Pelodiscus sinensis: one gene and its partners. The protein of the gene in region 1 interacts with the protein of each later gene in a biochemical or structural test. Links are inferred from orthologs where the notes say so. Each region holds a gene or a part of one and is shown in the gene's direction. Other genes may lie near its edges. The genes, in order: UBE2D2, RNF14, SQSTM1 and UBR5.

Region 1 (7,709 bases):
TTGTATGTAAGTCGGAACTGGTACATATTGTAGGGGAAACTCTAGCCAAACATTTCTCCAGAGCTCAGTTTTATTCTCCCACACCTCACTTCCCTCAGTCCTTTAGTCTCAAGCTGAGGTGTCTGCTGAGAAAAGCCGCTCCGCGTCTCCCTGGTCTGCTGGGGGGAAGCAGCTAGTGCGGGGTTGCCTCACCCCGTTTGTAAGTAGGGATCCGATGTAAGTCGGATCCATGTAACCCGGGGACTGCCTGTATAAGGGTGTGTCTGCACTGTACCTGTAGCTTAAAATAAGCTATGCAATTTGAGCTACGCAAATTATGTAGCTTATTTCAAGTTTCAAAATTTGGCACTGTCTACAGACTACTCATTTGGAAATACATCGCTATTCCAAAACGTCCCTTACTCCTCGTGGAATGAGGTTTGCAGGGATGTTGGAACAGCAAACCCATTATGTCCAAATAATGGGCACAAGATGCAGAATAGCTATTTCAAGATACCTCTGGTATCTCTGTGTAGACATAGCCTAACTGTATGTTACCTGGCAACTTGCCGCTGGGTTAGAAACAGGCACTAATCACAAATGGATGTGTAGGATTAACCCCTACACATTGGCTGTGTTTACACTGGCAAGTTAGTCCAGAAAATCAGCCGCTTTTCCGGAAAAACTTGCCAGCTGTCTACACTGGCCACTTGAATTTCCGGAAAAGCACTGATGATCTAATGTAAAATCATCAGTGCTTTTCCGGAAAAACTATGCTGCTCCCATTCGGGCAAAAGTCTTTTTCCGGAAAACTGTTTCGGAAAAGGGCCAGTGTACACAGCACAGTAGTGTTTTCCACAAAAAAACCTCGATCACGAAAATGACGATCGGGGCTTTTTTGCGGAAAAGCGTGTCTAGATTGGCCACGAACGCTTTTCCGGAAAAAGTGCTTTTCCGGAAAAGCGTCCTGCCAATCTAGACGCGCTTTTCCGAAAATGCTTTTAACGGAAAACTTTTCCGTTAAAAGCATTTCCGGAAAATCATGCCAGTGTAGACGTAGCCATACTGTAAACCCTATCCTGGGCAAATCCTTGAAGCATTATATCTGGCTCAGAGATCTCGGAGTTCTGCCTTTTTTAGAAGTTTGGCAACATTTGCACGGTGTGTCATACCCAACAAGTGTTCTGCATTTGACTCAGTGTTTGTATGCAGTCTTGTAGCTGTGTTAGTCCCAGGGTATTAGCAAAACAAAGGGAGTAACAATTTCTTTGGACAAACTTCTGTTGGCGAGACAAGTTTTGAGGTACAGAGCTCTCTGGGAAAAGTTCAGTGTCACAACTAAATACAAGATTAAATGAATAAATTAGTCCAAATTGTTTAGCACATATTCTAAGGGACAATTCAAGGTGAAGTGGCCTGTTAACACCCGTGTAGGGCCAAAAATAAAGTGTGCAGGGGGAGGGGCTAGCAGGTTTCAGATTGTGCAATAAACCATAAGCCTGGTATCTTTATTAAGAACATACCTTTTAGTATTTAGCAAAGTTATGACTTTTAAGATCCCAGACTCATCTTCTGAAAGTACTGTGCAGGTTTCTTTTGAGGATGAGGACTGATAGGTCAGATATGGAGGGATCACTTTGTGATAAACGTTCACCCATAGGTAATCCAGTGTTTTTCTGACTTTTATCGTTTTCTTATGTGAGCTCACTTGAGAACTTAGTGATTGGTGTCATGTAATACAGTGGATAAAGTACACCACATGTTGAGATTGGCACATGTAGGGCCCATGGACCTTGAAAGGTATGTTGAGGGGGGTATTGATCATTACAGTGGTGTTGATATGTTGGTTCTGCATCTGTATTGGCAGGGTTGGCGGGGAGCTTGTGTCTCATGATGATCTTAGAGATGTTGGGGGTGTTTTAAGGAGGAAGGTTCAGGAAAGATTTCCTTCAGGATAGGGTCCCCAGTGAATATGTCTTGTACTTGTTACAACCCCATCCTGAAAGGATGTTGAACATTTAACCTGGATTGTATTAGGGAGAGTGCAACTAAGGAAGTTTCCACATTGTTTTGTCCAACCCTCCCAATTTTGTGTCAGCAAGAGTAGATTACATGCCAATGATTCATCTACCAGCTCACTTGAACTAATGAGCCATTTCCTCAGCTTTGGGTCTCCAGATGGCTTGAATCGTCACAGAGGATCCTTGCTAAGGGAAATGTCTTTTTCCTGAAGTGCCATGGTGGCTTCCTTGCAGAAGTACACCGCTAGAACAAGTAGTGACTGGATTGCACACCCCTAATCAGAAAGCATATGAAACCGAGGGGTAAGACCAATAAAGCAAGTTGATTTTGTTCTTTTCCTTACTCAAAGGTAGTGACTCGTATTATTATTATACTCCAAATGGGTAATAAGTCATGATGAAGATTTCCACTGTTATTAGTGATGAAGTGCTGGGAACACATAACTGTTGCTGCATAATCAGTTTAAAAAAAATCAGATACTTCCAGCTAAGCAGCTGGTTAAATAGTTGGAATTGCTGTTTTTATTTCTACCCAGCACATGACAAAGCTGAGGAAAATGCCTAGCAGCACTTTCTACATTTTCAGCTGGACTTTCTCGGCCTTGTGCTAACTGGCTGTGTTCTCCCTCACTCTTCACCAATCCTGCTTTTCTGCAGCCTGCCCCAATCCCCACAATTCCCTTCACTTTTCCTTTAGCTTATCCCTGCCTAAGTAAACGCACTCCCCCACAAAAATCATAGAACATGACACTTGCTGCAATCACTTTGTGTGCATCTTGTGTATTTAGAGTGTTAGCTCTTCAGAGCAGGAATTGACTACTATTCTGTGTTCACACAATGCCGCTAGCCCTAGGCATTGCTGTAATAAACCTGATGAATTACTGTTCAAAAGTACATGTAGAATGACAGCTGCGAACAATTTGTCAGAAAACTGGGTGCCATAATTCTGTATTTTACAGCTCAAACTTTGCCACGAACTTGTCCCTTCATGTGCTCAACTACATGATTTTTCACTGTGTTCTTTAGCTGGATCAAATGTGCACGCAACTCATCTTAAACTATTTTCAAATGCTGTTACATGGTACACTATGTGCAAGGCACCAAATGTACATCAAAGATGGCAAGAAGAGGAAAGGTGGGAAAAGCATCAGCACAGGGTTAAGGTACAACTCAAAGATCTATTCTTCCAGATACTTAGCATACTTTCTTGCCACACAACTGCAATCTGGAAAAAAAGGTAGCTTCTCAGGCTGGTCTGCGTGGTGACAGGATTCCTTCTTGATCCTACTGAAGGATCATCTAACACCATGGGGGAATATAGGAGACGGATTATTATAGCGGCGCCTTTAGCACATGAAAACAGAATCTCCTCCGTCACCCCCAACTAGGGCCTTTCAGTACTGCCTCTAGCGCAGACTGTGTACTTTCACTGGGTTAGCCTTTGTGCAGATAGCCAATACTCCAAGAGGCCTCCAACTTCTCCTTTCACCCAAACTTTCAGAGAAAGTCCTTTCTATCTCTCTTGCCTGTGGCTTAGATCACAATGTGGGTCACCACACAGGAAGGCAGAGTCTGAGACTTAGCATTCCCAGCCCTTTAGGGGTAGGCCAAAGTGCACCTAACCTTGCCCACTCCCAGGAGTAGGAAACCCAGGGCATAGGTATTAACTCAGGGAGTTATAGCAGGGGCATGGCCCCCAATTGGGGAGGGGGGGAAGAGAGGAGGGGAGAGAGGAGGGCAACACAGGGCTCTAGGAGAGAGAAGGGCGGCAAGGAGGGGACAGCACAGAGCCCCAGAGGAGAGGAAGGGCAGTATGGGGCCCTCAGGGGAGGGGGGAAGGACCGCACAGGGGGCACCATCCCCCAAGGAAGGGGAGACCCGAGTAGCGTGAGGGGGGTGCTCCAGGGGCAGCACAGGCCCCCAGGGGGTGACACGCGGGGCACTGTGGTGTCGGGGGGGGGGGGTACAGGCTCCCGAAAGGCCAGGAGAGCACGGAGGGGGGCTTCAGAGGGAGGGGAGGATCCGGGCCCCGGGGTGAGGGCAGGACGGGGGGGGGAAGGAATGGGAGGGGGAGAGCAGGACGGGGGGGGAGGGGAGGATCCGGGCCCCGGGGTGAGGGCAGGACGGGGGGGGGAAGGAATGGGAGGGGGAGAGCAGGACGGGGGGGGAGGGGAGGATCCGGGCCCCGGGGTGAGGGCAGGATGGGGGGGGAGGGGAGTGTCCGGGCCCTAGGGGTGGGGGGAGGACGAGGGGGGAGGGGATGGGAGGGGGAGGACAGGACGGGGGGAGGGGAGTGTCCGGGCCCTAGGGGTGGGGGGAGGACAAGCCCCTGGGGGGGGGAAGAGGCCCGGGGGGGGGCCCACAGGCTCCGCCCTCTCCGAGCAGCACCGGGCCCGACGCGGAACCTCCCGACGCTCCCCCCCCCCCCGCGCAGCCGCACTAGGCCTTCCTTCTACTCTACCTCTCCCGGAACCTCTTTCTTTCTCTTCTCGCGAGAAGTTATTTCACTCCCCCTCCCTGAATCGTATCCCTCCGCTTCTCCGGACCCCTTTCTGGAGAGTTCTGTGTGTAAGGAGAATGGGAAAATAGTCCTTCGTGCCCGAGCGGGCCCCATCACCAGGTGCTGCTCCCCCTCCGCCCGGCTGCCCCGCTGGTGACTACTGGGATGGTGGCGGAGTGATACGGCCTCGGAGGCGGCAGCGCATAAAGGCCCCGCGGAGTGATGCGGTAGCAGCTGCGGCAGCGAGCAAGAGCCCAGCGGCCGCCGGGGGGAACAGAGAGCGAGGCCCGACCGCCGCCCCGAGACTCCGCCGCGCCGCGCCCCTCCCCCCGCGAAATAATCCCGAGCGAGCCCCCCGCACCGGGCCCCTCACACAATGGCGCTGAAGAGAATCCACAAGGTAAGGGCCGCGCGCCCCCCCGTGTGCCGGGCAGGGGGGCCCGCCCCCCCTTACGTAACCGCGCGGCCCGGGGCCTCTCTTTGTTGCGGGGCCGGCAGGTGCGTTCGGGCCCCGCGGCCTCCTGGCGAGGGCCGGGCCGGGCGGGGCGGCGAGCGGGTGACACGGGCCGGGGGAAAGCGAAAGCGGGGAACCCGCGGGGGGGGGGGGCTGGGCCTTCCCGCCGGGCCCGGCGCACGAGCCCGCTTGCTGCCTGTAACGCCGGGCAGCACAAGGCAGGGGCAGGGCTCGGCCGGGCCGCAGCGCGGGCTCCGCTCGGAGGAGTCCAGGTGGGGGGTCTGGGGTCACACCCGGGGCAGGGAGCCTCGGAGTCAGAAGGGGCTCTGGGGGGTTTGGGGGGTTTGGGGTCACACCCGGGGCAGGGAGCCTCGGAGTCAGAAGGGGGCCTGGGGGGTTTGGGGGTCACACCCGGGGCAGGGAGCCTCGGAGTCAGAAGGGGGCTCTGGGGGGTTTGGGGGTCACACCCGGGGCAGGGAGCCTCGGAGTCAGAAGGGGGCTCTGGGGGGTTTGGGGGTCACACCCGGGGCAGGGAGCCTCGGAGTCAGAAGGGGGCTCTGGGGGGTTTGGGGGTCACACCCGGGGCAGGGAGCCTCGGAGTCAGAAGGGGCTCTGGGGGGTTTGGGGTCACACCCGGGGCAGGGAGCCTCGGAGTCAGAAGGGGCTCTGGGGGGTTTGGGGGTCACACCCGGGGCAGGGAGCCTCGGAGTCAGAAGGGGGCTCTGGGGGGTCTGGGGTCACACCCGGGGCAGGGAGCCTCGGAGTCAGAAGGGGGCCTGGGGGCTCTGGGGGGTTTGGGGGTCACACCCGGGGCAGGGAGCCTCGGAGTCAGAAGGGGCTCTGGGGGGTTTGGGGGTCACACCCGGGGCAGGGAGCCTCGGAGTCAGAAGGGGCTCTGGGGGGTTTGGGGGTCACACCCGGGGCAGGGAGCCTCGGAGTCAGAGGGGGCTCTGGGGGGTTTGGGGTCACACCCGGGGCAGGGAGCCTCGGAGTCAGAAGGGGGCTCTGGGGGGTTTGGGGGTCACACCCGGGGCAGGGAGCCTCGGAGTCAGAAGGGGGCTCTGGGGGGTTTGGGGGTCACACCCGGGGCAGGGAGCCTCGGAGTCAGAAGGGGGCTCTGGGGGGTTTGGGGGTCACACCCGGGGCAGGGAGCCTCGGAGTCAGAAGGGGGCTCTGGGGGGTTTGGGGGTCACACCCGGGGCAGGGAGCCTCGGAGTCAGAAGGGGGCCTGGGGTTTTTGGGGTCACACCCGGGGCAGGGAGCCTGTTAGGATCTGAGGGAAGCCTCAAAACTTCTCCCTCCTCCATGTCCGTTGTTGCCCAGGAGTTCTCTTTTGCGGCCTTTTTTTTTTTTTTTGTAGGAGTTGCCATCTAACCCTGAAATGCAGGAAGTCCTCCTCAAGTGCAAGCTGGCTTTTATTTAACTTCAGTGTTGTGTATGGCAACTTAATAGGCACATGTACTTGAGCTTCTAGCTGAGGGAAAAATACCAAGTAAGAATTTTAAACCTAGAGAGGTGATGAGCAACCCAGGCTAGTGAATGGGCTTCATGAGTGGCCCTCCTCAATCTCAGTGGACTGCAAGATTGTCATAACCATACAGTTTCCCGGGATAGGGTAGTCTTGCTAACTGTGCTTGTGTACCTAGAATTTCTGGAGTGTGCCAGTTGAATCATAGCAGTGGTTTCATTGGATGCAGAGGGAGCATAGAGCTCTCATAGTCAACATGTGGCATCAACACACACTTCAGTTTGCATACATATCACTTCAGTAACAATAGGAAAATAAAATGTTTTGTAGGCCACACACAGAATCCTAATGGGCTGCAGATTGCCCACCACTGTTCTAGGGAAAGCCTTAATTGATCATCTTACTCTGCGTAAACATTCTGGGTCCATCCAATTTGGTTTAGTATCTGAAGCTACCGTGTATGAGATTCGTGTATTTTGATGGGCAGGCCTACTAAAGTCTCCTAATCTATTCTTCCCTTTTTAATCTGTTATGCCATTACAGGTTGAACCTCTCTAGTCTGGCACTGTCCAGTCCAGCAACATCTGTGGTATGGCATAATGTTAGCTGGATGTTCACTTATCGTGGGTGTGGCCGAGTTTTTTTTTTTTTTTTTTTTTTTTTTTCCATGGTCCATAACGTTTGTTTACAGCCATCGGTCCCTATGTCAACTTGCTGTGCTGTGGTTTAGCTCTAATTTACCCCTACATGTCTTCTGAGAATCCTGTAAGCAATGGAAGTATTGGTAATCTGCTGGGCAATATTGACTTCCCGTGATTGGGCAGGTTCTCTGGTTTGGCACCACTCACGTCCCAAGGGTACCAGACTAGAGAGGTTCAACCTGTATTGGCATCACCGATTAAACTCTTAACTGTTAGTGGAGGGTGAAGTGATCATAGATGTCAGATATTCAGCAGCTCATGATCTTACAATGTCATTATTATATGGTACATCTCAGTACATAGTTATTTAACGTATTTGCAGGAAAATGCACCTAAAAATCTTGTCCTTGCAGGCTAAAAATGTTTATAAACTCTTGTCTCCTAGTCTTTTTGCATGAGACCATCAGTTTCTCTTTTACTCTGGAAAGTGTTACAAGAAATTCTTAAGTAGTCATCCTCATAGTTCATAATAAATATTGGCAAGGGACAGCTGTCCAAAAGTAGACTCTTGAGGAATCTTTTGCCAACCTACTTAGTGCGCCACTTGTTTGGCAGACTATTCCAAAACAAGATCCAGCCTGGATTA
Region 2 (7,472 bases), about 21 Mb from region 1:
ATGCCTCTGCTCAGCACTCCAAATGCCTCCCTCTTAGTTCACCGGCATTTTCAATTTACCAGCATCCCTGTTCCCCCAGTGTGCCAGATGAAAGGGCTTCAGCTGTACTTGCTTCTATAAGGCCTGCATTTGAAATGCTTGGTTTTATTATCTTCCAGTAAGATAAATTTGGTTTTTTTAATGAGCTGCTCTGTGACTTGGCTTCTAGTATTCATAATTGTCATAGAAACCTGAAAACATTAATTTTGTATGTTTTAAATCAAAAGTTGAAACATCCACACATTACAAGAAATAAATTCACTGGATTGTACTGGGTTATTTTTTTTTAATTGTCAACTGTGGCCAAGGTAACTGTTACAATTTAGGTTGGTGATAGAATTGAGGTCTGTCACTAATCAATTTATTTGCCACAGGGATGTATTTGAAGGAACAAGAAGTTGCAGTGTGTACAATCTGCTCATTTGCTCTTTCCAGACAAATGAAAGAATTTGTGTTCCTATAATAAATTAATTAGAACATTGTGCTTCTACTATAGCTCAATTAAATCAATTTTATGGGGTATCAGAAATGGTATACATCTTAATATCTTAAGGTAAATGGTTGTGGCTAATTAACCTGCTGTTAAATGATAATACCAGTTTTGCAATATTTCCTGTACAGTGCCTGTTCACAAGAAGCTCCCAGAACTCGTAATTCATAGTATTTGCAGCACCCATTTCAAGTACTGGAAACATTTTAAGAAAAAGTGCTATACGGCCTACTGTGAAACATTACAAGTACTGCTCCAAATGATCTCTGAGCTAATGTTAGGACTCATCAGCCTTCATCAGTTTAGCTTGAATTACTTCAGTGCTAGCTCTAGTTACACCACTAACACTCCTATAATCCCACTCATCCTTCAGTGAAAGTACTGGAAACCTGTGGTATCATACACCTCTTCCCTTTCCATCCTCTAGTTCCACCAATTAACTATACTTCCTGTTTTTCAAAAAGCTTGTTTGAGGATGGAATCCCATTGATATATGAAGATTCAGCAAATGTTAAGTAGCCATAGGTGTGTAAGGTCAGTATAATAGGGGAATTTCAAACAATTATCTAAAACACAGAAGATCACTGGCTGCATCCTTGCTTTACATTGCTCATATTGATGGTATTAGATACTATGCTTTGCTTCAGAATAGTTAACAACTTATCATAAACTGTTATTTGTCTCTAATGGGATGTGGCTTCTCAGTTGCTGGAGTCAACCTTGCGTGAATTCAAATTTGATTTCAGTGTGTCTTTTGCTGGTACTAGCTGTTAGAAGAACAGATACCTTTAATTTATCTGATCATAAAATATGGCCTTAGTTATTCTTGAGTCAGCTGTACAAATGATAGCCAGACCAAGCTATCATCAAACATAACAGCTCTTGTGCAAAGGCTGGCTATTTTTGTAACTTTGTTCAGGCTATAGTTGTCTTGTCTCCTCCAGATAGTTCTGATTTCCTTTTGCTTCTGATAGTGTGTGGGTAAGGGATGTCTTATTTTTGAGAACTTGCTCTATATCTGTGGTGTGCAACCAGTTCTATTGCTTTTACAAACAAGCCACACTCAACCAGCCAAATGGCCACATGTGGCTAGCGTAGTGGATGCTATATTTTTGAAAGATCAGTATAATTGGATTCAAAATTTGAAGTACATTTTAAGTTACAGTTGTGACTGAAATCCTGGATACATTGTGTACTCTGAAGAGAAACCAACCTACAGATTATGCTCCATTTGATTCTCTCCATCACCCTTCTCCATCTCCTCTTCCCCCTCCCGCCCATGGTGGAGCTAACACAGGCAACAAGCAATGTTACTCATCAAGTTAGTATTTCAACCAATGCAAAAAGTATTTTTCAAAAAGAGGCCACAATTTCTTAAATGTGTAAACTATCAAAACTTAAAATCTAGCAGCACCTTAAAGACTAACAAAACATGTAAATGGTGGTATGAGCTTTTGTGGGTACAACAAAAGCTCATGATATCACCTACATGTTTGTTAGTCTTTAGTGCTGCTAGACTATTTATTGTTACATTTTTCCAGTTAGACTAGCTTGTTAAACTATCAGTAAAGTTAAGTCCTTCCTAGGAAGAGTTTACAGTTTGATAGGCAAGATTACATAAGGAACTGAATTAGGAGAACCAGAATTAAAAGGAGAACAGCATTGCTTGAGTTGTGATGGTGATGGATACTTATTTACCAACTTTGAATCTATCACTTATTTGCAATCATCATCCCTGAAATGCTTCGTTTGTCATTTTGAAGTAAATGGAATTATAATTAAACGAAATTCCCTTTTTTTAAATTCTGCATTGAAGGGCATAAACATGCTTCCTCCAAGTTTTGGAATAATAGGTTAAAGTAACTGATTTTTAAAAAAAGTTTAACAATGTTAAAATGCAATTTCTTGCCTGTGAGAATTTAAGCAGTTTTTGGTTTGACACACACAAGGTGGGTAAGGTTCAATAAAAGGTATTGATTCCTGTGACACAAGTTTTGAATTTACACAAGGCCCTGTGAATTTGCAGTATCTGATGGGATTGCTTTTTTCACCTTTAGTGATTTTTCCAAAATAAAGTTTCAAGAAACTTAAACAGCAAATAGTCCTGTGGCACCTTTAGGCTATGTCTACACTCGCGGCTTCTTGCGCAAGAACATCTTGCGCAAGGGTTCTTGTGCAAGAAAATGTCCACACTGCCATGTGCATGCTATGCTTTTGCACAAGAGCTCCCATGGCAGTGTGGATGCTCTCTTGCACAAGAAAGCTCCGATGGCCATTTTAGCCATAGGGCTTTCTTGTGCAAGAAATCCCTGCTGAGTGTCCACACTGCCCTCTTGCACAAGAGCTCCTGCGCAAGGGGGCTTACACCTGTTAAGGAGCATAGCTCTTGCGCAAGAAGCCCTCTTACCACACCATACTGTAAATTTCCTTGCGCAAGAGCGTGCGGGCAGCGTAAAGGCTCTGCAGATTCTTGCGCAAGAACAGTCATACTTGCCCAAGAAGCCGTGAGTGTAGACAGAGCCCCAGAGACTAATAAAAATGTAGATGGTATCATGAGCTCTTGTGGGCACAACCACTCCTTCAGATGAATCATCTACATTTTTGTTAGTCTAAGGATGCATAAAAATATACCCTTACCTTGATTTAAGCTACACAATTTATGCCTCCAAATAAGATCATTTTGAATTTAATTTTGAAATAGTGGTATTTTGACAATACCAGAAGTAGCCTGAAATAGCTCTGTTGTGTAGATGTAGTCTGAGGTCCTGCAGACTATTGGCTGTTAAGTTTTCTAAAATAGAGATCTATCATTAGTGGCATTTAAAACAGTATAACTTAGTTCATTATGGCTACGTCTACACTGGCCCCTTTTCCGAAAGGGGCATGCTAATTTTCAACTTCAGAATAGGGAAATCTGCGGGGGGTTTAAATAAAGATGTCCACCGCTTTTTTCCGGCTTGGAGAAAAGCCAGAAAAAAGCATCTAGACTGGTGCGATCCTCTGGAATAAAGCCCTTTTCCGGAGGATCTCTTATTCCTCCTTCAAAGTTTAAAAGGCAGCAAAGGGGGCCACCTAGGAGTCATGCTGGTAAAGCAGCAGCAGGCAAGAACTGCCTTCCTGCCAGAGCACCAGAAGTCAGGTGCTGCCTCCTGCTGCTTTGGCTAGGTTCCAGCGCAGCAGGAAAAATCTGTGCAAAAGTCCCTGCACACCTGTTTTCCCCAGGAGAAGAAACAGAAAAGTGCAGCCACGTGTAGCTATGCTGCCATTTCTGGGATGTTTTCAGTGTTTTATGGGGCACCTGGACAGGCAATTAAAATTTGGGACTCTTCCAGATTTTCTGGGCCGTATGGTCAGCATAGTCATGGTGGTGCCCAGCCAAACCTCAATATTGATGCACAAGCCAAAACTCATTCTTCTCACAGTTGGAAAAATCTTAAAGGGAGCACTGGTCCGCACTGCCATTACTAGTCTATACTAACCCCTCAGTACCTCCCCAAATAACTCTTTGAAATACAAGCAGCAGTGTTAATTTGAAATAAGCCCATTATTTTGAAAGAAGAGGCGTGGTGATGTGGCTGCTCACTGGGCTGGCCCACACCCACTGAGGCTCCCTGCAGCCTCGTTTAAAAGGCAGTCATGGCTCTTGCTGCAGGCAGGTTTTTGGTAGGCGAAGTTGCTTCTGCTCTAGGACGTGCTTTCTCCTCCGGTCCCCGCACGCTTAGCACCTAGAGCACGTGCTGGGGGCCAGGCGGCGGCGAACACACCCCGCACTCTCCAGCGCTGGAGCTGCCAGGGCTCGCAGCCTCGGGAAAGCCAGGCTGGGCTCCCACGCGTCTGCGCCTCGGCTGGACGTAGACGGGCGCCGCTCAGACCTTCCTCTCCTCTTGTCCGCGCGGCCCGCTGACCAGCCACTCCCCCGTCCCGCTCCGCAGGGCCCTCCTCCCTCCGGCAGGGGGCGCTGGCTCCTGGCAGCGCTGCTTAGAGCTCACCGGGGCCGCTCTTGGGCCCGGCCGTGCGGGGAGGGGCGGACAAGCGGTGGAGGCCGCCCGGGCCCAGGTGAGAGCGGGGACCAGGAGGCTCGCGGTCCGTAGCTCGGCCGGGGCCCGGCGCTGGCAATGCGCGGGAGACGGGGGTGCTGAGGCGACTGGAGCCGGGCAGCCCTGAGGGGAAGGGCGGGGCTGCCTGGGAAAGTGTCTAAGAATCCGGGGCCTGACGCTTCTCTCCTAAAGTCCCGTGGGAGCGCCCGTGCCAGGCCGGCGTCTCCTTTCAGGCGCTTCCCCTTCCCTCGCAGCCCTGTCCCTGTGCGGGCCAGAGCCCTGGACCCGTCTGCCGCCCCCACTTCTGATGGAGGCAGCGGCCCGAAGGGGCTAGGCTGGGGCTGATACTTGCGAGGACCCCGCTTTCAAGCAGGCTCCCTGCGTGTGTCAGCTCCCTGGACCTACCTGCCCCTCCCCCCCTGTTGCTTCCTTAAAATCCCATTTTCCCCCCTTCCCCAGCACCAGCTCCCCGGTGCCACCTGCTACCCACTCTCCCTTCTGTGCTTCTAGCTCCTGCCTGCCACCCTGCATTGCTGTCTATCAGAGGCTGGCAGGAGGCTCCTTGGAATATACTGGCTGCCAGCCCTGGCCCCGGGGACTATCGACTAGTCAGTCATGTAATGATAAGATTTCATGTGTTTACACGACTGTTCAATTACAGGATATTTAACATCCTTAGTGTTTACCTGGCTTCATGCCCCCACTGCTTCAATTGGTTGTGATTCCAGTCAATGGGAGCAGCAGGGAAAGCTTCCAGGTGAGCTGTTTCCTGCACTGCTGTTTCCCTGGCTAGAGGGAACACCGAGTGGCAGAATGTGGAGCCACTTCCTTCACAAGCCAGATCTGGCCTGGGAGGTTCTCCTCCACCCTGCAAAGTGGGAAGCCGGTGCTGGCACTCCAACCTCTCAAGGAAGACTGTGGGACTGGACCACCACTGCAGGGGAGGAGCCTGTGGCCCACCTGCAAGATGGTCATGGACCACACTTGGAGTATTACTGCCCTGGGTGTTGAGCATTATGTGTTTGACACTGGTCTGGAGTTAGTGGACTCTGTGGTGTTAACTCAAGCTGCCCAGGCTAAAGTTAAGTGTTCCAGCAAGAGTGGGCACACTGGGAACTGGAAATATTATTTGATTTGCCTCCAAACAATTGTGAGAGAAGCTGAGGGATTGTTGTAGTTGAGCTGCAGTCTGCACTCCCCTGACCAGCCAGCCAACCTGAGTTCAAAGTGTCACTGCACTTAAGATTTTTGTGTGTGGTCAGGTATTGGATTAGGGGCAATACTTGAGTTATAACTAAGTCTTAACTGCAGCAAAGACAAGCACTAAGTGTTGCAGGAGTCTGAATCCATGTATGCTGTACATCTGTGCTTCTGTAATGTAGACAATACTTCAATGGAAGGGATTTTTTGGAGGGCTAATTTTTGGTGTCCTGGACAGAGCAGCCCCTGCAAGGCTGGAGTAGTCTCCGGCCCGTGGCAGGTGGAGAGCTGCTCCAGCCCCACCAGTTAAATGGTTAAACTTTTGCAACCCTAGTGTAGAGAGGTACCTGCACTATCTTTCATCTAGCTAGATAGTTTAACAAGGCAGTGTGGGCTGGTAGTGCAGGCACATAGCCAGGGGACCATAATGGTCTTGGGCTGCCCACTATTACATCCTCGCTTCCTTCTTTAGTAAGTTATTTAAAGATAGCCTGGGTACAGCTACATAAGCTGTCATTTTTTTTCTTTCTTCAGTCTCCGATTTCCATCTCATCAAATGAATAAAGTGTAACCTTGATACTATTAGCACTGCCTTACATATTTCATTCTATAGTGTTCTTCAGCCGTTGACTTTCTAAGAGTTAGTCTCTGATTATCTGGGTTTTGAAGAGAGCCATTTTTTAGAACTTTAAAACTGCCAACAAATGATAGAGCATGTGTGGGATCTGTAACTGGAAGAAAAAGAGTAATTATGTATGGTATGTTTTTATGTTGTGCTATTGTGGTTTTTTTTATTTTCATTTCAGTGACATTTATATATATACGCACACACACAGACCATTCAAATTGTCTATTTAGTCCTTGATTTTTTTGGTTGGTTTCTTAATTCTGCAGAAAAGTTAAATGTCTTCAGAAGATAAGGAAGCTCAGGAGGATGAGCTGCTGGCATTAGCTAGTATTTATGATGAAGATGAATTTAAGAGGGCAGACTCTGCCCAAGGAGGAGAAACAAGAATTTGTCTGGAGTTGCCCCAAAATTTCAAAATATTTGTGAGTGGTGAGTCCAGATGTTTTTCATTATTCTAAAATGATTTTTTATAAAAAAAATACTTTATATTTTCATACATATATTCCAAAGGTGGCTCCCCAAACATTTTTATTTTATTTTCGTGAAACATCAAAGTCAGGAACAATTTGTCATACATTACGTTATTCCATGGGGGACTCTAGAAGCAAATTGATGTAGATATTTGAGTTACTTTCATGTCCATCTAGTGTGTTTTTGCATTGCATTGCATTTTTGTAGTGCCTTTCACCCAAGACTCTTGAGTTTTGAAATATTAGATAAAGTACATTATCATTTTTAAAATGTTTTAAAGAAATATTGCTTACTATCACAGGTAACACTGAGCATTACTGTAAGTGTCAACTTTGAGAAAATATTATTTTGTATTTGTTCAGGGCATTGAATTCTATATTGGACACAATAGTGCGTGTGTAGTTAGCTTCATTGGTTCCCATATGCAATAATTCTGTTTTCCTTGTTTGTATAGGCCAAATTTGGCTACGGGAATAACAAGTAACAAACACACACTTTTAAACTTTTGGCCGAGGGACTTGAAATTATGTTTAATTCTGTTTTTAATTGTATCTCTTTTAAGCTTCACAGTCTGTGAAGTGGGTATTAACTCAGAGAGGTGCCTTTG
Region 3 (7,882 bases), about 31 Mb from region 1:
AAAGCGGCGGACATTTTTATTTAAATTCCGCGGGGGATATTTAAATCCCCCGCGCATTTCCCTACTACGACTCATGAAATTTACATGCCCCTTCCGGAAAAGGGGCCAGTGTAGACGAGCCCAGGCTGTATTGAGTGTCTGCATACCCTAGAGGTGAGTCTGCTAGGGAATGGCTGAGGTACATTGGCAAAAACAGTGTGAGGATCTTTGTATGGCTGGTGGACATTCTGTTTTTATTTTGTGGATAAACAGAAGACTTCAGTCTCCCATAATATTAAGTCAGTAACTTTTACCAACACTGTCAAATAATTCCAAATTTAAATGACGTAAACAAGGGAGGGCTAGTGGATTATATCTTTGTTTTGACCACAAACCCTTTCATGTTTAGGATCATTAGCCCCATCATGTACCTATATTCACAAACCTAGTAAAATGTTTCATTACAGACACAGCACTATTTACCTGGTCATGGGTTTAAACAGTAACTCGTCATTTCAAAATGGATCAGTGGCCATAAAACATTATTACCAAGCAATTCAAGTGGTTCTTCTGAAGATGAAAAGGAACAATTCTGTCTACTATAAACATAAAATATTCTTTAAATAAATAACATCATAATTATTTAAAAATTAAACTTGTGTTCATTGATTAACCAGGAAGCTAAATATACTGCCGAGTCTAAAATATGTCTCTCAAATAAAAAAAAAATCTTATTAAAAAATAAATGAATCTTTTCCTTAACCCTCAAGAACTTTTAATTCATGACAAGGCCTCTCAAGATTTCTCATTATGTTAGGTTAAGAAGTATGTCACTAAAAATCAGGGCAACAGGCCCTTAAAGTGAAACGATATTAATACCAACTGGGAACCTACTACTCATTGATCCATCTTTAATTACACTTGGAAGGTTCAGACAGCTCTTCTGCCAGCTGGATTCTTATCTGACCTGATTAAGAGTCCTGTCAACTGCATCTGATCTGCAAATATTGCTGCCAACAAATTTGGAAAGCCCACAAGCATCCTTCTTAATGTCAGCAAGCATCTATTTTTAAGTCTCAAAAACCCAGATCCAGGAGAGATTATTAGCATGATTACTTAACTGTATGTACTAAGAGGAGGGCAGGCATATGCTACCTATTGAGTATGAGGTAAATCTTGTGAATTGACACATTCACCTTTTGATTATCAAAGAGCATAGATTTTGGAACCCCATTCAGCAACCACTCCTGCCTAACATTGCTCAGTCTATAACATTATGGAAGCAACACAACTAGTCAGGACTAGACTAAAGGATCTTAAATGCCATGTTTGCCATAGAATGAGGTACAGTAACACTACTGTGTCTCAGTGCTGCAGGTCCTGGGATAGCATATTGTGGTATAGCAGAAGTTATACAGTCATGTCTCCATGCCAGAGGTTCTTGGACGTTGTGTTGTAAAATAACAGAAGCATGTTCCTGAATGATGCACAGATGTTGTTGGCTACGTCTAGACTGGCATGATTTTTCGCAAATGCTTTTAACAGAAAAGTTTTTCCGTTAAAAGTATTTGCGGAAATGAGCGTCTAGATTGGCACGGACGCTTTTGCGCAAAAGCACTTTTTGCGGAAAAGCGTCCGTGCCAATCTAGACATGGTTTTGCACAAGAAAGCCCCGATCACCATTTTTGCCATCGGGGCTTTTTTGCGCAAAGCACTTTTTAGCTGTCTACACTGGCCCTCCTGCGCAAATACAGCTGCTTTTGCGGAAAAACTTGCCAGTCTAGACGCAGCCGTTGTGTTTAACTAATCATGTTTAAAACCACTGACAGCCCTCAAATATCAAAACCAACTGGCATTTACTGGAGAGTGCTGAAAATTTGTTAAAGCACTTTCAGGTGAACTGAATCTTATTTCCACTACATAGAAAGCTGGAGACATTAAATATTATCTGTCATGTCTCACTGCCTTTCAGTTATTTTTCTTATTATACAGCTTTGTATTGTGATTAAAAACAAAACAAAACAGAAAACCTTCATGTTTGTTTCCTGTTACACTTTTAGAACTATTCATTCTTTTGTGCTGGAAAACAGATTTCCTCAGCACATCCATTGCCAAAAGTGGACTAGATGAAATCTTGAAGGTAGCATGGAGTTAAAAGTCCTGTTAAAGTAGAAACAAGTTAAAAGAAACTGCTGGGGTTTTTTTTTGTTTTGTTTTTTTAGAAGAGGCAAAAAAGACTGGGGGTGGAAAGAGTAAAAGAGGAGAAATATAAGAGACAACCAGAAAGAGGGGGGAACACACAAGAGATCTAAAGGGATGAAAAGGCACTTGATGAAAAATAATATGTCTGCAATTCTAATGTGCAGATTTCTGAATCTTGCAACCGTGTCTCACTCCCTGCTGGTTTGCAAAACACTTCAGGGAGTCCAACGCACAGCAGAATCTGTATTATATTACTTTTTGTGATGAGTATAATGGATTAAATAGCAAACACAAACTGTCCTTAACTGTAACTGTCTCCAGTTTCATCAACAACAGACTTAGGATGGTTAGTAATTTGTACAAGAAAATAAGGTAGTGTCACAAAAGGTAATAGCTGTTTAAAATGCATTTCTTTAGAGCAGTACACATCTGTATTGTATTTGTATAGCCCCTAGTATCATGGGGCCTCAGTTCTGACTGGGTTCTTTGGATGCTGCACATATAACTATGTGTTAACTCTTGTTACTGACGTTATAGATTAAAACTATTTTAAATAAAACGTTTTTATCAAATGACATCTTTCTAAACTGTACTTTAGACATTGGTTTCATTTCAGTCTCAAGCTCTGTGGATCTTTCTGGCCGTCCCTGCAGCCAGGGGCAAGCAACATGGTCTGTGGCCCTTGGGGAGGCCTGTACCCCCACCCAGAACGACTGGTGGGTGGCTAGTGCCCCGCAGGCCTGCCTCCCCTCCATCTCTGACAGCAGCAGAGGGGGAAAGTGCTGAGTCACGGTGACTGCAGGCTTTCACAAGGCCGCTTCCTTGCGTGCTTTCTCCACCTACTTGGGATCAGGTGCCACTACCTGCCAGTGCCAAGCCCTACGTACCCCCTTCGTCCCATCCCCACCCACCTGCCACGCCCTTGCCGCCGCCACCGCCTTCCCCCCCCATCTCTTCAGGCTCCAGCTCCTTCAATCCACAGACGAATCCCCCATCTACCCCCCCAGCATCTCCTCCTCGGGCTCCCCCCCCACTCTAAACCGGCTCCCCCCATTCTAAACCACCCCTCCCGCCTCCCTCCTCTAAACTGGCTCCCCCCATTCTAAACCGCCCCCCCCGCTCCCCTACTCTAAACCGGCTCCCCCCATTCTAAACCGCCCCCCCCCACTCCCCTACTCTAAACCGCCCCCCCACTCCCCTACTCTAAACCGCCCCCCCCGCTCCCCTACTCTAAACCGGCTCCCCCCATTCTAAACCGCCCCCCCCCACTCCCCTACTCTAAACCGGCTCCCCCCATTCTAAACCGCCCCCCCCGCTCCCCTACTCTAAACCGGCTCCCCCCATTCTAAACCGCCCCCCCCGCCTCCCTCCTCTAAACTGGCTCCCCCCATTCTAAACCGCCCCCCCCCCCGCTCCCCTACTCTAAACCGGCTCCCCCCATTCTAAACCGCCCCCCCCACTCCCCTACTCTAAACCGCCCCCCCCGCTCCCCTACTCTAAACCGCCCCCCCCCCGCTCCCCTACTCTAAACCGGCTCCCCCCATTCTAAACCGCCCCCCCCACTCCCCTACTCTAAACCGCCCCCCCGCTCCCCTACTCTAAACCGCCCCCCCCGCTCCCCTACTCTAAACCGGCTCCCCCCATTCTAAACCGCCCCCCCCCGCCTCCCTCCTCTAAACTGGCTCCCCCCATTCTAAACCGCCCCCCCCGCTCCCCTACTCTAAACCGGCTCCCCCCATTCTAAACCGCCCCCCCCGCTCCCCTACTCTAAACCGGCTCCCCCCATTCTAAACCGCCCCCCCCCACTCCCCTACTCTAAACCGGCTCCCCCCATTCTAAACCGCCCCCCCCCGCTCCCCTACTCTAAACCGGCTCCCCCCATTCTAAACCGCCCCCCCCGCCTCCCTCCTCTAAACTGGCTCCCCCCATTCTAAACCGCCCCCCCCCCCGCTCCCCTACTCTAAACCGGCTCCCCCCATTCTAAACCGCCCCCCCCACTCCCCTACTCTAAACCGCCCCCCCCGCTCCCCTACTCTAAACCGCCCCCCCCCCCGCTCCCCTACTCTAAACCGGCTCCCCCCATTCTAAACCGCCCCCCCCACTCCCCTACTCTAAACCGCCCCCCCGCTCCCCTACTCTAAACCGCCCCCCCCGCTCCCCTACTCTAAACCGGCTCCCCCCATTCTAAACCGCCCCCCCCCGCCTCCCTCCTCTAAACTGGCTCCCCCCATTCTACACCGCCCCCCCCGCTCCCCTACTCTAAACCGGCTCCCCCCATTCTAAACCGCCCCCCCCGCTCCCCTACTCTAAACCGCCCCCCCCCGCTCCCCTACTCTAAACCGCCCCCCCCCCGCTCCCCTACTCTAAACCGGCTCCCCCCATTCTAAACCGCCCCGCCCCCCCGCCTCCTCAGCCTCCAGACCCCGCCCCGAATCTAGCCCCCCCGCGCCCGGGCGCTGAGAAGGTGCCTGAGCCGCGCCCCGCCCTGCCTTCCCCCTAGCGGGGCGCCCAGGGGCGGGGACTTTCCCGGCGCAGGCCCGGCCTCCCGCGGTATAAGGGGAGCGGCCGGGCGGAGGGAGCTCAGGCCCGCGCCGCGCTCTGCCCAGCCCCAGCCGCCCGCCGCCGCCCATTGCTGCTGCGCCACAGCCCGCCCGCCCGCCATGGCCGCGCTGACGGTGAAGGCCTTTCTGCTGGGCAAGGAGGGGGTGGTCCGCGAGATCCGCCGCTTCGCGCTCCCGCCGCCCGCCCGCTACCAGGACGTGCGCGACAAGGTCGGCGAGATCTTCCCCGCGCCGCTGCGCGACGGCGCCTTCCTGCTGCACTACAAGGGTGAGCGCCGCGGGCCCGGCTGTGGCCAGGCTCGATCCGCGGCTCTTTTCCGCCCCTGAGCTGTGCGAGCCCGTAGGGAGACCGCCCCGGTGCATGCTGCGGGCTGGGCAGAATCGCGGCCTGATGCCTGCCCCACACCCGGCTGCTCCGGGGGGGGACAAGACTCCTAGACTCGAAGGGACCATTATGATCATCTAGTCCCACCCCCTGCCCAATGCAGGCCGCAGAATCGCACCCACCCTCTCCTGGAATAGGCCTCTCCCCTCTCGCTCACATATTGGTCTGAGGAAGTGGGTCTGGCCCACGAAAGCTCGTCATCTAATAAGCCATCTTGTTAGTCTCTAAAGGGCTACATAGCCCTGTATATTGAAGTCCTGAAATGGTCTAAGGACCCCAAGATGCAGAGAGGACAGCAGACTAGCTCTGGGAACAATGCGCTAGGCTGCCCTTTTGCCTCCAGGGCTTCTCTTTTCTGTACCTCTGTAAATGCCTACGGCTTGGTCTACAGCACTACACACACATGTGGGTATAACTGCTTCGCTCAGGCCCCTGGATTTTCCATCCCAGAGGTCGGCTTAATGGCAGTATTAACACTCCATCCCTTCCCTGTACACAACACATTGTGGACTGTTGCCATAGCAATCATTTCCCACGGAGGTGTATTCACTACCCCATGGGAATATAGTAGTGTTTTCACCAAATGCTACAATGGCATAGCTGCACTGCTGCAGCACTGGGGGTGAAGACCAGCCTTGGAAAGAAAGCACATACAGTGAGCCTCATTTTAGCTCAAATTTTAGCTCAAATTACAGAAAGAAAAGTTCTTGCTACTTCCTGCCAACCCCTTCATTAACATAAATTGAAGTTCAGTGTTATACAGTATCATCTCATACTTTATTCGTATTATTAGTTTCTAGACTAGCTCATTGAGGAGACTTTCACATTTCTCCCCTTTAAATTATCATTCATGCAGTAACTCTATTCTGTTCAAAGACCAAGATATTTCAATGCCAAATATTTAGTTCTTAAAGATCATACACTCCAACGTGACTGTTTTTCTGCGGGTGATATTTAACTCTAGTTTATTGGAAAATTGCTTCCTTGTCAGATTTTTCTCTGTTCTCACTACTGCCAGTTTTTAACAAGAACACATATAGCTCTGCAGCATAGCTTCTCCATAGTACTGCAGACATAGTAAAATTATTTAAACATACACTCCATTCTGTAACTATTGCTGAAGTGGCTTGTGTCTTTAAAACTATACCTCTCTGCAAATGTGGTGGTTTGTAAGCAGAAGATAGTTTGGTAGGGAAGAAACTACTTAAGTAGAGGGGCAAGGTGGGAGAGAGTTTTTATGCTGATAATCTGGGGTTGATAGGACTAAAACAACACTGCATACAACTCTCAAGTAGGTTAGATTTCTTTCCCATCTAAGTTATTTGTTGTTATAGAACTCTAAGCAAAAGAGGAGAGTAAAACTAAGTGCCATTTTGAAATGAGGATAGTTAATCAACCCTTTTATTTCTCTCTCAAAACTGGAAGGGACATCCAGTCCAGTCCTCTGCCCTCATGGCAGGTACCATCCCTGACAGATTTGCCCCAGATCCCTAAATGGCTCCCTCAAGGATTGAATTTACAACCCTGGGTTTTAGCAAGCCAATGCTCAAACCACTGAGCTACCCCTCTCCCCAACAGTTCTAATATCAAAGCAGTAAGGTGTTGCTTGATTGTTAGTCTCTATTATTTGCAAAATACTTAAGACAAACTACATATTTCACTTTGTTTTCATAAAGACTTACTTTCATCTCTTCCTGATTGTCACTTATATCCAATTTATTAATCTGTCTTCTTCAGATGAAGATGGCGACATGATTGCCTTTTCCGGTGAAGAAGAATTCAAGATGGCTCTGCCATATGTGAAGGATGGCATTTTTCGTATTTACATCAAAGGTAATCTTTAGTTTTGTGGTGGTAAAGAGGCTCTCAAAAGAGAAGCAAGGCTGACTTTGTGTTTCTGTAATGGGTAACTGCGTATGGCAGAGGTAGTACTTAAAGAGTCCCTGAGAAAGTGTGTGATGCAGAGTACACCCTAATTGCTTCAGGAGCACATGTCTCTGCTACAAGGATGGCACTCTGCTACAGGTCCCTTGAGGGCAGATTGAATAAAATATAGAACAAGTGTTTATAGGCTTGGAGGAATTCTATTCTGTTGTGCTGAGAGGGAAACAAACTAGAAAATCCAGTCAAATAAATTCAAGGAAATTGTATTACAAAGTTCAAACTTCTAGAGTTACTTTAAGAAAAAAACATGTCTGGACTAGCACTAACCACAAATTAAGAGGTATACAATTTCATTCTTTAAATATTATGTAATTAGGGTATTTAAATCCTGACTTTCAGTTTTATTAGTATTTTAGCATGCCTCATAGTAGCCCTCTGGTTGAAGTCAGTGCTCCATATGTATCTCTTCTTTCCTCACATAATTTTGAAGATTGACACATCCACAGTTTGTAGATTTACAGTCTGTGTAACCATGTGTTTTACTGCTCCTTGTCTTCCCTTCCCATCTGTTAATCTAAGTTTAGAGAAAACAAGGGTTTATCTGAAGAATTTACATTGTTCCAGACATCGTTGTCTTACTGTAGTCATATGGAGCACAAACTTGATGGGTCTTGGTACTGTCATGATACAAGTTAAGGAATGTTAACAGACTGGAAGTTGTCAGGCTGATGAAGTGGAGAAAAGTTATCCATTCACAGCCTTAATTAAATGTAAACAGTGGCTGTGTCTACACTGCACCCCTTTTCCGGAAAAGGGATGCAGATTAGACACTTTAGAATAGCGAATAGAATAGATTAGACGCTTTTTTTCC
Region 4 (7,172 bases), on another chromosome or scaffold:
CAGGAGTGCAGAACACCCCAGCAACCACGCTGAGGCCCGGTAGTTTTTTTCCGGCAGTCCGGTACTGGGCCGCGGCCCATAGTTTGGGAAATGCTGGACTAGTGAGATTGCAGAATCTCCATCACTGGAGGTATTTAAGACCAGGTTAGATAGACACTTCTCAGGGATGAGCTAGGGCAACTCAACTTTGGTGCCTCCCCCTTCCCTTACTGCCCCTGCCCCCTTTGCCCTTTCTGCCCTTTTCCCCTCCTGCTCCTCTGTGCCCTCACACATGCCTTGCTCCATCCCCACCTTTCTCATGCCCACCCCTTCTTTCAAGCCTTCTCCCAGCACCTCCCCCTTCAGTCCCCAATGCCCTTGCCCTCTCCTCTCCCAGCATCACCCTGCCCCCCCCCAACACCTCCCCTCCTGCCCTTTCCGTCATTGTCTGTAATTAGCCCCCTGGCATTTGTCTCTCCTGCACCCTGTCCCTTGGTGTCTTCCCCTCCCAAGACCCTCTCCTTCCCCCCCACCGCCGCACAAGCCAGTTTCCTGCCATCTGCCTTCCACGTTGCGGGGCCAGGGGCCGCTCTCAGGCCCTGGAGGCCAAACCCAGAGGCAGCCCTGCAATGTGCCTCTGAGAAGTTTTAAAATCCCAGCCCGTGACGTTACGTCACACCCAGGCATCCTCCCCGCCCACGGGCAACACTGCACATGGGCAGCAGCAGCTGGCAAGGAGGAGCCAGGCATGGCAGGGAGGGGCCTGGGCCTGCTCCAGGCAGAGCCGGGGGAAAGAGACCCAGCTCCACATATTGGTGGAGCAGGGCCCTCAGCTCTGTAACTCGCCAGCACTTCCGGGTTCAAGGGCGCGGGCCCCAATTCGACCTAGGGCTGGCCCTGCCAGCAGCCACCAGGCACGCTGAGGCCCGGTATTTTTTTCCCGCATCCCAGTAACAGGCCGCAGCCCATAGTTTGGGAAATGCTGCTCTAAAAAGTGATCAAGTGCACTGTACTTCCTTTTTATAGTCTTCCATTTGCTACATTTCCTTCCCACCCTCTCCTTAAAGGGAGAGGAACCCTTCAATGTGGGGTGTGTGTGTGTGACAAAAATGGAATTTCCCTCCTGTGCTGAGAAAAGGGTGGAGAAAGGGAAAGAGGAAAACTAATGTGAAACCAAGATTGCTCTTTAAGGTGACATTACTGAAGGAAAAACCAAACCACAGACTCCACTAGGATTGCTTTATCAATGCTTCAGAAATGTTCAGTTTTAGGAACTCTTTTAGCGATCTGTTTCAGAATCACTTACTACAACTTAGTGAATAGGAAATATTGTGGCAGTATACAGGCAGTCCCCAGGTTACGTACAAGATAGGGACTGTAGGTTTGTTCTTAAGTTGAATCCGTATGTAAGTTGGAACTGGCGTCCAGATTCAGCCGCTGCTGAAACTGACCGCCAGTTCTGACTTACATACAGATTCAACTTAAGAACCCCAAGCCAGCTGCTGCTGAAACTGATCAGCACTGATTCCAGGAAGCCTGGGGCAGAGCAACTCTGCCTTGGGCTTCCTGTAGTCAGCGCTGGTCAGTTTCAGCAGCGGCTGACTTGGGGACGCCTGGGGCAGAGCAGCTGGGGTGCTGCTGGGTTGCTCCAGTAGCACCGCTCCTTGGCGCTACTGGACCAACCCAGCAGCACCCCAGCTGCTCTGCCCCAGGCGTCCTGATTCAGCCACTGCTGAAACTGACCAGCAGCGGCTGAATCAGGACCTGGGGCAGAGCAGCTGGGGTGCTGCCGGGTTGGTCCAGTAGTGCCCAGAGCGGCGCTGCAGGACCAATCGGTAGCGCCCCAGCTGCTCTGCTCCAGGGTCCAAAACAAAAGCCTGGTCTGCTGGGGGGGGGGCACACTAGCCGCTCCCCCCCCCCAGCAGACCAGGGACACCGGGAGCAGAGCCGCAGCGGCAGCGAGGCGAGGGACCCCGCCACGGGTGCGGCTTCAGTCCCGGTGCCTGTGGTCTGCTGGGGACGGTCCCCAGCAGACCACAGGCACCTGGACTGAAGCGGCAGCAGCGGCCGGTTCCCCGTGCTTCTGAGGCTTTGCTCTGGCAGAGCCTCAGAAGCGCGGGAACCCGCCCGGTGCCCCTGGTCTGCTGGAGACCAGGGGCACCAGAGCAGCTTACGAACGGGGCTCTCTCGCCCCGGAGCTCGCAGGTAGCAATTCGTAAGTGCGGATCCGCGTAAGTCGGGGACTGCCTGTATATCCTATTAAGAAATTGACCTTATCTGCCATTACTGAATCTTTTGAAAATATTGTTAGCAAGTGATTCACTAATTTAATTTTGACCGGTGTTATAACTATTTCCCAAGACAGTTATAATCACTGTGTAGATAAAATGTTAAGGAGAGTTGAATAAAACTTAGTTTTATAAAGACATTTTTATAACTCTTGCTAAAGTGACTGAGGAAGCTTTTTAAAAAAATATGCACAAATGACAATATTTCTCACATAGAGCAAGACTACCTTGTTATCTCTAAAGTCAATTTTTGACCAGTATATTAAAGCTTGTGCTTTAAGGCTTAAATCAATAACTAACTGACCAGGCTGAGACCTATGTCAGATCTCCCCATCACAAGTGAACAATGCAGGATTCTTAGATCACAAGTCCAAAACAATTTGCTCTGGAGGCTTTGAAAACATTATACTAGACTAGTAGACCACGTTTATTCCATTAAGGAAGTTCCTAGACTTTTAAAAAACCCATGGTTTTGCAGCCGTTCACTGACATTATTCAATATGTAGAAATATGATCAATTAAATAAACCCAGCATGAAACTTTAACTAAATTTCAGTTTTCCAGCGTGTTAGTATAAATATTTTAAATAAATGCTTTCCGATATATGACAAGGTAGTGCATGTGAGTATGCACTAGTTTGTAATTGTGGGGAGGGGAAGTCTTATTTAATGTAGCTTAGTGCTAGTGAAATAGCCCTCTTGCTTGCTTTGCAAACTACCATTACTTATCCCTACGAACTGTATATACTGCAACAATAAGCTTTCTACATGCTGACCCAAAGGCAAATGTATCAGGCTAAATCCATAGTCAAGTTACCTTTATTCCCCTCCAGCACCTGTGAATGGTTTTTAACACCAGTTCAGTTGTTTGAGTATCTCCCCCTCCTCAGGCAACTGAAACAAGGTTAAACAGTCTACACAGCTGCTTAGGGCAAGGAAAGGTATTCATCCCTGCCACCCTGTTAGTCAAAAAAGTCTTCAAGACCCCCCACGATGGCATAGGCCTGTTCTGGAGCCCGTTGGCCTGTCAGGGGCTGTACTCCTGTACGCACTGGTTAGCTGGCTACCAGCACGACTGTAAGAACGAGAAGTGGCCCCGTGGCGCTTTAGAGCCAGTCTCTAGCTAGAGAGAATCATGAGCTTTCCTGGGCAAAACCCACTTCAGACCTGGCCCACTCCAGCCTGCGGCTGTCAGTGGCAATGAACCTGCTGAAGCCGGACCCGCCGCCAACGCCCCTCGCCCGGCGGTCAGGGGCCCCAGCCGAGCCCGGTAGCCGGACAGCAGCGTGAGGCTGGACGCCGCCCCCTCACGGCCCGCACGCTCTCATGCCTCCAGCCGCCGCCGGCCTGGGCCCCTGAGGTCTCCCCGCCGCCCAGCTCCGCCCCCCAGGCGGCTCAGGCCCAGGCAGGGAGCGGCAAGAGGCCACAGGCAGCCGCGGAGGCCCGAGTCTCCCATCCGCCATCGCGAGCCGGGCCGCGACACGCAGACGCCTCCCCAGAGCGGGCAGCGCGCCGCAACCCCCCCCATACGCGCTTCCCCGCCCCCAGCTTCTCCCAGGAGCACGTGGCCTTGATGTAATTTGCGTCCGACGTAGTCGCGCTTTACGGGCTCGCTAGCCCAATCCGCCACTTCCTTACAGCCACACCGCCGATAGGCCTTGCGCGCGCCAGTAAGCGTGCAGCTTACATCGCGGTCGCTCAGCGGGCGCCCCGCCCCACCCCGGCGCGGCGCAAGGAGGGAGGGAGAAGGGGCCGCTGGAAGTTAAGATGGCGGCGCGTGTGTGAGTGCGGCGCGGTGCGAGTCTCTTCCTGACCCTGCCGCCGCGGGCCCCCGCGCCCCACTCTGCGTCGGATCGCTGTGGGGAGGGAAGGACGCTGCTCGCGAGCGCGAGCGCCCCCACCGCCCCGAGAGAGACGCCGAGCTTCCCCCTCCCCCGCCTCCATTGTGTGCCCGGCCTCTGCCCGCCTCTGGGGGGGGAGCGCAACATGACATCGATCCACTTCGTGGTGCACCCGCTGCCGGGCACCGAGGACCAGCTCAATGACCGGTGAGGGGAGGCCCACGTGGGTGAGGGGGACGGAGAGGGGAGGGGCGCGGCCCGGCCCCTGGGGGACATGGGAGGGAGGGGCGGGCCCATGTGTCTGGCGGCCAGAGAGAGGCGGGTGGCTGGGCGGCGGGCAGGGAAGCCGTGAGCGTGTCTGCGGGCCGGTGGGCTTGGGAGGGGAAGAGTCCCGCTTCTCTGCACGGGGTCTGATGTATCCGAGCCCCCTCCCCGCAGCCATTTGCTGTGGGTGATGTCCCTGCCCTCTTTGGGCCCGGGGACGCGTCTGGGCTGCACGTTCAAAGCATGGTCGTTTCCTGATAGTCCCCCGAGACTGCAAACTCTGGGTCCCGGGGGGGATCGTGACTTTTGAGAGTGAGTCCCCGTGTCTCTCCGCCCAGCTTTTTCTGGCCAGGAGACACTGGGGCTGTACCAGGCTTCTCATGTGAGAAGTGGGTTCTAATTACTCCTGGAGGGAGGCTGAGGAGGAGTAGGAATTTGTCCATACAAATCAACGATGAATTGACAGACACTGTAGTTGGAATTGCATATCATGGAAGATACAGTGGAAGCGTGAGGAAAGTATAAGGACTTGGTTTTAGGCCTTTAGTTTGAAAGGGGTTGTTCTGTAAAGTGCTCACTATTGAGCACTATTGCAGGGAAGAGAAAGAGGCATGGAAACACATTGCATCTTTAAATGTGATGTTTGGAAATCTTCCAGTTATAGTTAAGATTATGCAGTGATAAACATAGGTTGTGAAGAAACTATACTAGTCTGGGGAAAGAAGGAAACATTTTATTTAAATCTCGAGGTGTGAGACATTTTCAGATTCTTCTGTTGATATCTTCTTTTGTAGTCATTAATAGTTTTCTGCAGTTAGTAAATTTCACAATATAAAATCTTAATAGATTCTGAACTGATAAATTCTCAGTTTATATTAATTCACTGTCAAATTATCTGTGGTTAATAATACAGAAGACCTAGATTTTAGTTATAGGGTGGAAATCTAAATAAACTTGTTTCTGAACAGGCTGTGAGAGCCTTTGGATATTTATTTCTGTCTTTTGCAGCCTCCCAGATTTGAATATAGGTCTAGAAAACTTCCATTATGTTGTCTCACTGAGTAATTTGCAGCAAGAAAAGAGGGGTGGGGGCCGAAATACTTCTCCATTAAACTACATCTGCAATTCAAGGGCTTATAATGTTAACAATGAGCAAAGTAAGTCATTGGAAGGATGATATTTCACCCAAACTTCTCCATCTTTGTTCTTAAACAGAGGAGAGAGTTGTAGTGATAAAACAGGCCTGTGACTTAACTCTTGCTAGTTGGGTGTAAATTTTTTGGGTGACCTGGTGACACATCTTATAAGGCACTGTTCGTCATGTGCTTCTCAAAGGAGGCAGCCTAACTACTGTTGGGAGATTGACCTCCTTTGCAGTAATGCCTTCACATATGGTATGCATCTGCTTCCAGCAGGAGGAAAATTGTGAGCACTAATACTATGATGGGATATTTCCATTTCTTCACCTAACTTTTGGTTTATGAAGATTTTTGATCTTGAAAGCACCAGCATCTTTTTCAAAAATATGATGAGGCCATTGTTGAACAAGTAATTACCAACCTTGGTTCAAGTATATTGAAGTAACACTCCAGATTTGTCTTACACCTTACCTGTCTTGTTTTTGGCTAAGCTTTCAGAGGCCTTGCATTCAACTACAGGCAGTCCCCGACTTACGCGGATCCGACTTATGTCGGATCCGCACTTACGAACGGGGCTTTCTCGCCCCGGAAGTCGAGGTGGCGGATTGCTGCCTGCGAGCTCTGGGGCGAGAAAGCCCCGTTTGTAAGCTGCTCCCGGTGCCCCTGGTCTGCTGGAGACCGTCTCCAGCAGACCAGGGGCACCAGGACTGAAGCCGCAGCAGCGGCGGGTTCCCGCGCTTCTGAGGCTTTGCTCTGGCAAAGTCTCAGAGGCGCGGCACCCCGCTGCTGCTGCGGCTCTGCTCCCCGTGTCCCTGGTCTGCTGGGGGGGGGGGGGGGCGCAGCTAGGCTTTTGTTGTGGACCCTGGGGCAGAGCAGCTGGGGCGCTGCCGATTGGTCCTGCAGCGCCGCTCTGGGCACTACTGGACCAACCCGGCAGCACCCCAGCTGCTCTGCCCCAGGTCCTGATTCAGCCGCTGCTGGTCAGTTTCAGCAGTGGCTGAATCAGGACGCCTGGGGCAGAGCAGCTGGGGTGCTGCTGGGTTGGTCCAGTAGCACCAGGGAGTGAGGAGCGGTGCTACTGGAGCAACCCAGCAGCACCCCAGCTGCTCTGCCCCAGGCGTCCCCAAGTCAGCCGCTGCTGAAACTGACCAGCGCTGACTACAGGAAGCCCGAGGCAGAGTTACTCTGCCCCAGGCTTCGTGGAATCAGCTGCTGATCAGTTTCAGCAGCAGCTGACTTGGGGACGCCTGGGGTTCTTAAGTTGAATCTGTATGTAAGTCAGATCTGGTGGTCAGTTTCAGCAGCGGCTGAATCTGGATGCCAGTTCCGACTTACATACAGATTGAACTTAAGAACAAACCTACAGTCCCTATCTTGTACGTAACCCGGGGACTGCCTGTAATCTGCATTTCTCTGGAATGCAGTATGGTTTGAATATCATATCTGGTCAATTTCAAAATGACAGGAGATGTGCCTTCCAGCATAACAGTATCTGGCTCATCTCCATGTGTCCTCCCAGTAGAGTTTCAAGGTATTAAGATGTTAATTACTTTCCTACCAGACAACGGAAAATAACAGTGGAGGAATAGGCATTTGAGCACAAACCTTGGGAGTGGGGTGAATGGGGAACACTGGAAATGAGAGGGGAAAGAGGAGAAACAC

What was found.
Region 2: the proteins of UBE2D2 (region 1) and RNF14 form a complex in vitro, tested with the Homo sapiens proteins (2 studies listed by BioGRID). The link is inferred for Pelodiscus sinensis from reciprocal best matches to the Homo sapiens genes UBE2D2 and RNF14.
Region 3: of the proteins of UBE2D2 (region 1) and SQSTM1, one has a biochemical effect on the other in vitro, tested with the Homo sapiens proteins (2 studies listed by BioGRID, with this or other methods). The link is inferred for Pelodiscus sinensis from reciprocal best matches to the Homo sapiens genes UBE2D2 and SQSTM1.
Region 4: the proteins of UBE2D2 (region 1) and UBR5 form a complex in vitro, tested with the Homo sapiens proteins (12 studies listed by BioGRID, with this or other methods). The link is inferred for Pelodiscus sinensis from reciprocal best matches to the Homo sapiens genes UBE2D2 and UBR5.

What each region holds. Positions count from the first base shown.
Region 1 is NC_134727.1:3,052,350-3,060,058, reverse strand, and holds the start of UBE2D2 (ubiquitin-conjugating enzyme E2 D2), read left to right. Parts: upstream 1-4,552; 5' UTR 4,553-4,876; coding exon 4,877-4,900; intron 4,901-7,709.
Region 2 is NC_134727.1:24,328,507-24,335,978, reverse strand, and holds the start of RNF14 (E3 ubiquitin-protein ligase RNF14), read left to right. Parts: upstream 1-4,427; 5' UTR 4,428-4,585; intron 4,586-4,688; exon of another isoform or gene 4,689-5,323; intron 5,324-6,660; 5' UTR 6,661-6,669; coding exon 6,670-6,823; intron 6,824-7,472. UniProt on the Homo sapiens protein: E3 ubiquitin-protein ligase that plays a key role in the RNF14-RNF25 translation quality control pathway, a pathway that takes place when a ribosome has stalled during translation, and which promotes ubiquitination and degradation of translation factors on stalled ribosomes.
Region 3 is NC_134727.1:34,414,465-34,422,346, forward strand, and holds the start of SQSTM1 (sequestosome-1), read left to right. Parts: upstream 1-4,727; 5' UTR 4,728-4,841; coding exon 4,842-5,010; intron 5,011-6,864; coding exon 6,865-6,960; intron 6,961-7,882. UniProt on the Homo sapiens protein: Molecular adapter required for selective macroautophagy (aggrephagy) by acting as a bridge between polyubiquitinated proteins and autophagosomes.
Region 4 is NC_134712.1:34,237,382-34,244,553, forward strand, and holds the start of UBR5 (E3 ubiquitin-protein ligase UBR5), read left to right. Parts: upstream 1-3,991; 5' UTR 3,992-4,252; coding exon 4,253-4,314; intron 4,315-7,172. UniProt on the Homo sapiens protein: E3 ubiquitin-protein ligase involved in different protein quality control pathways in the cytoplasm and nucleus. Mainly acts as a ubiquitin chain elongator that extends pre-ubiquitinated substrates.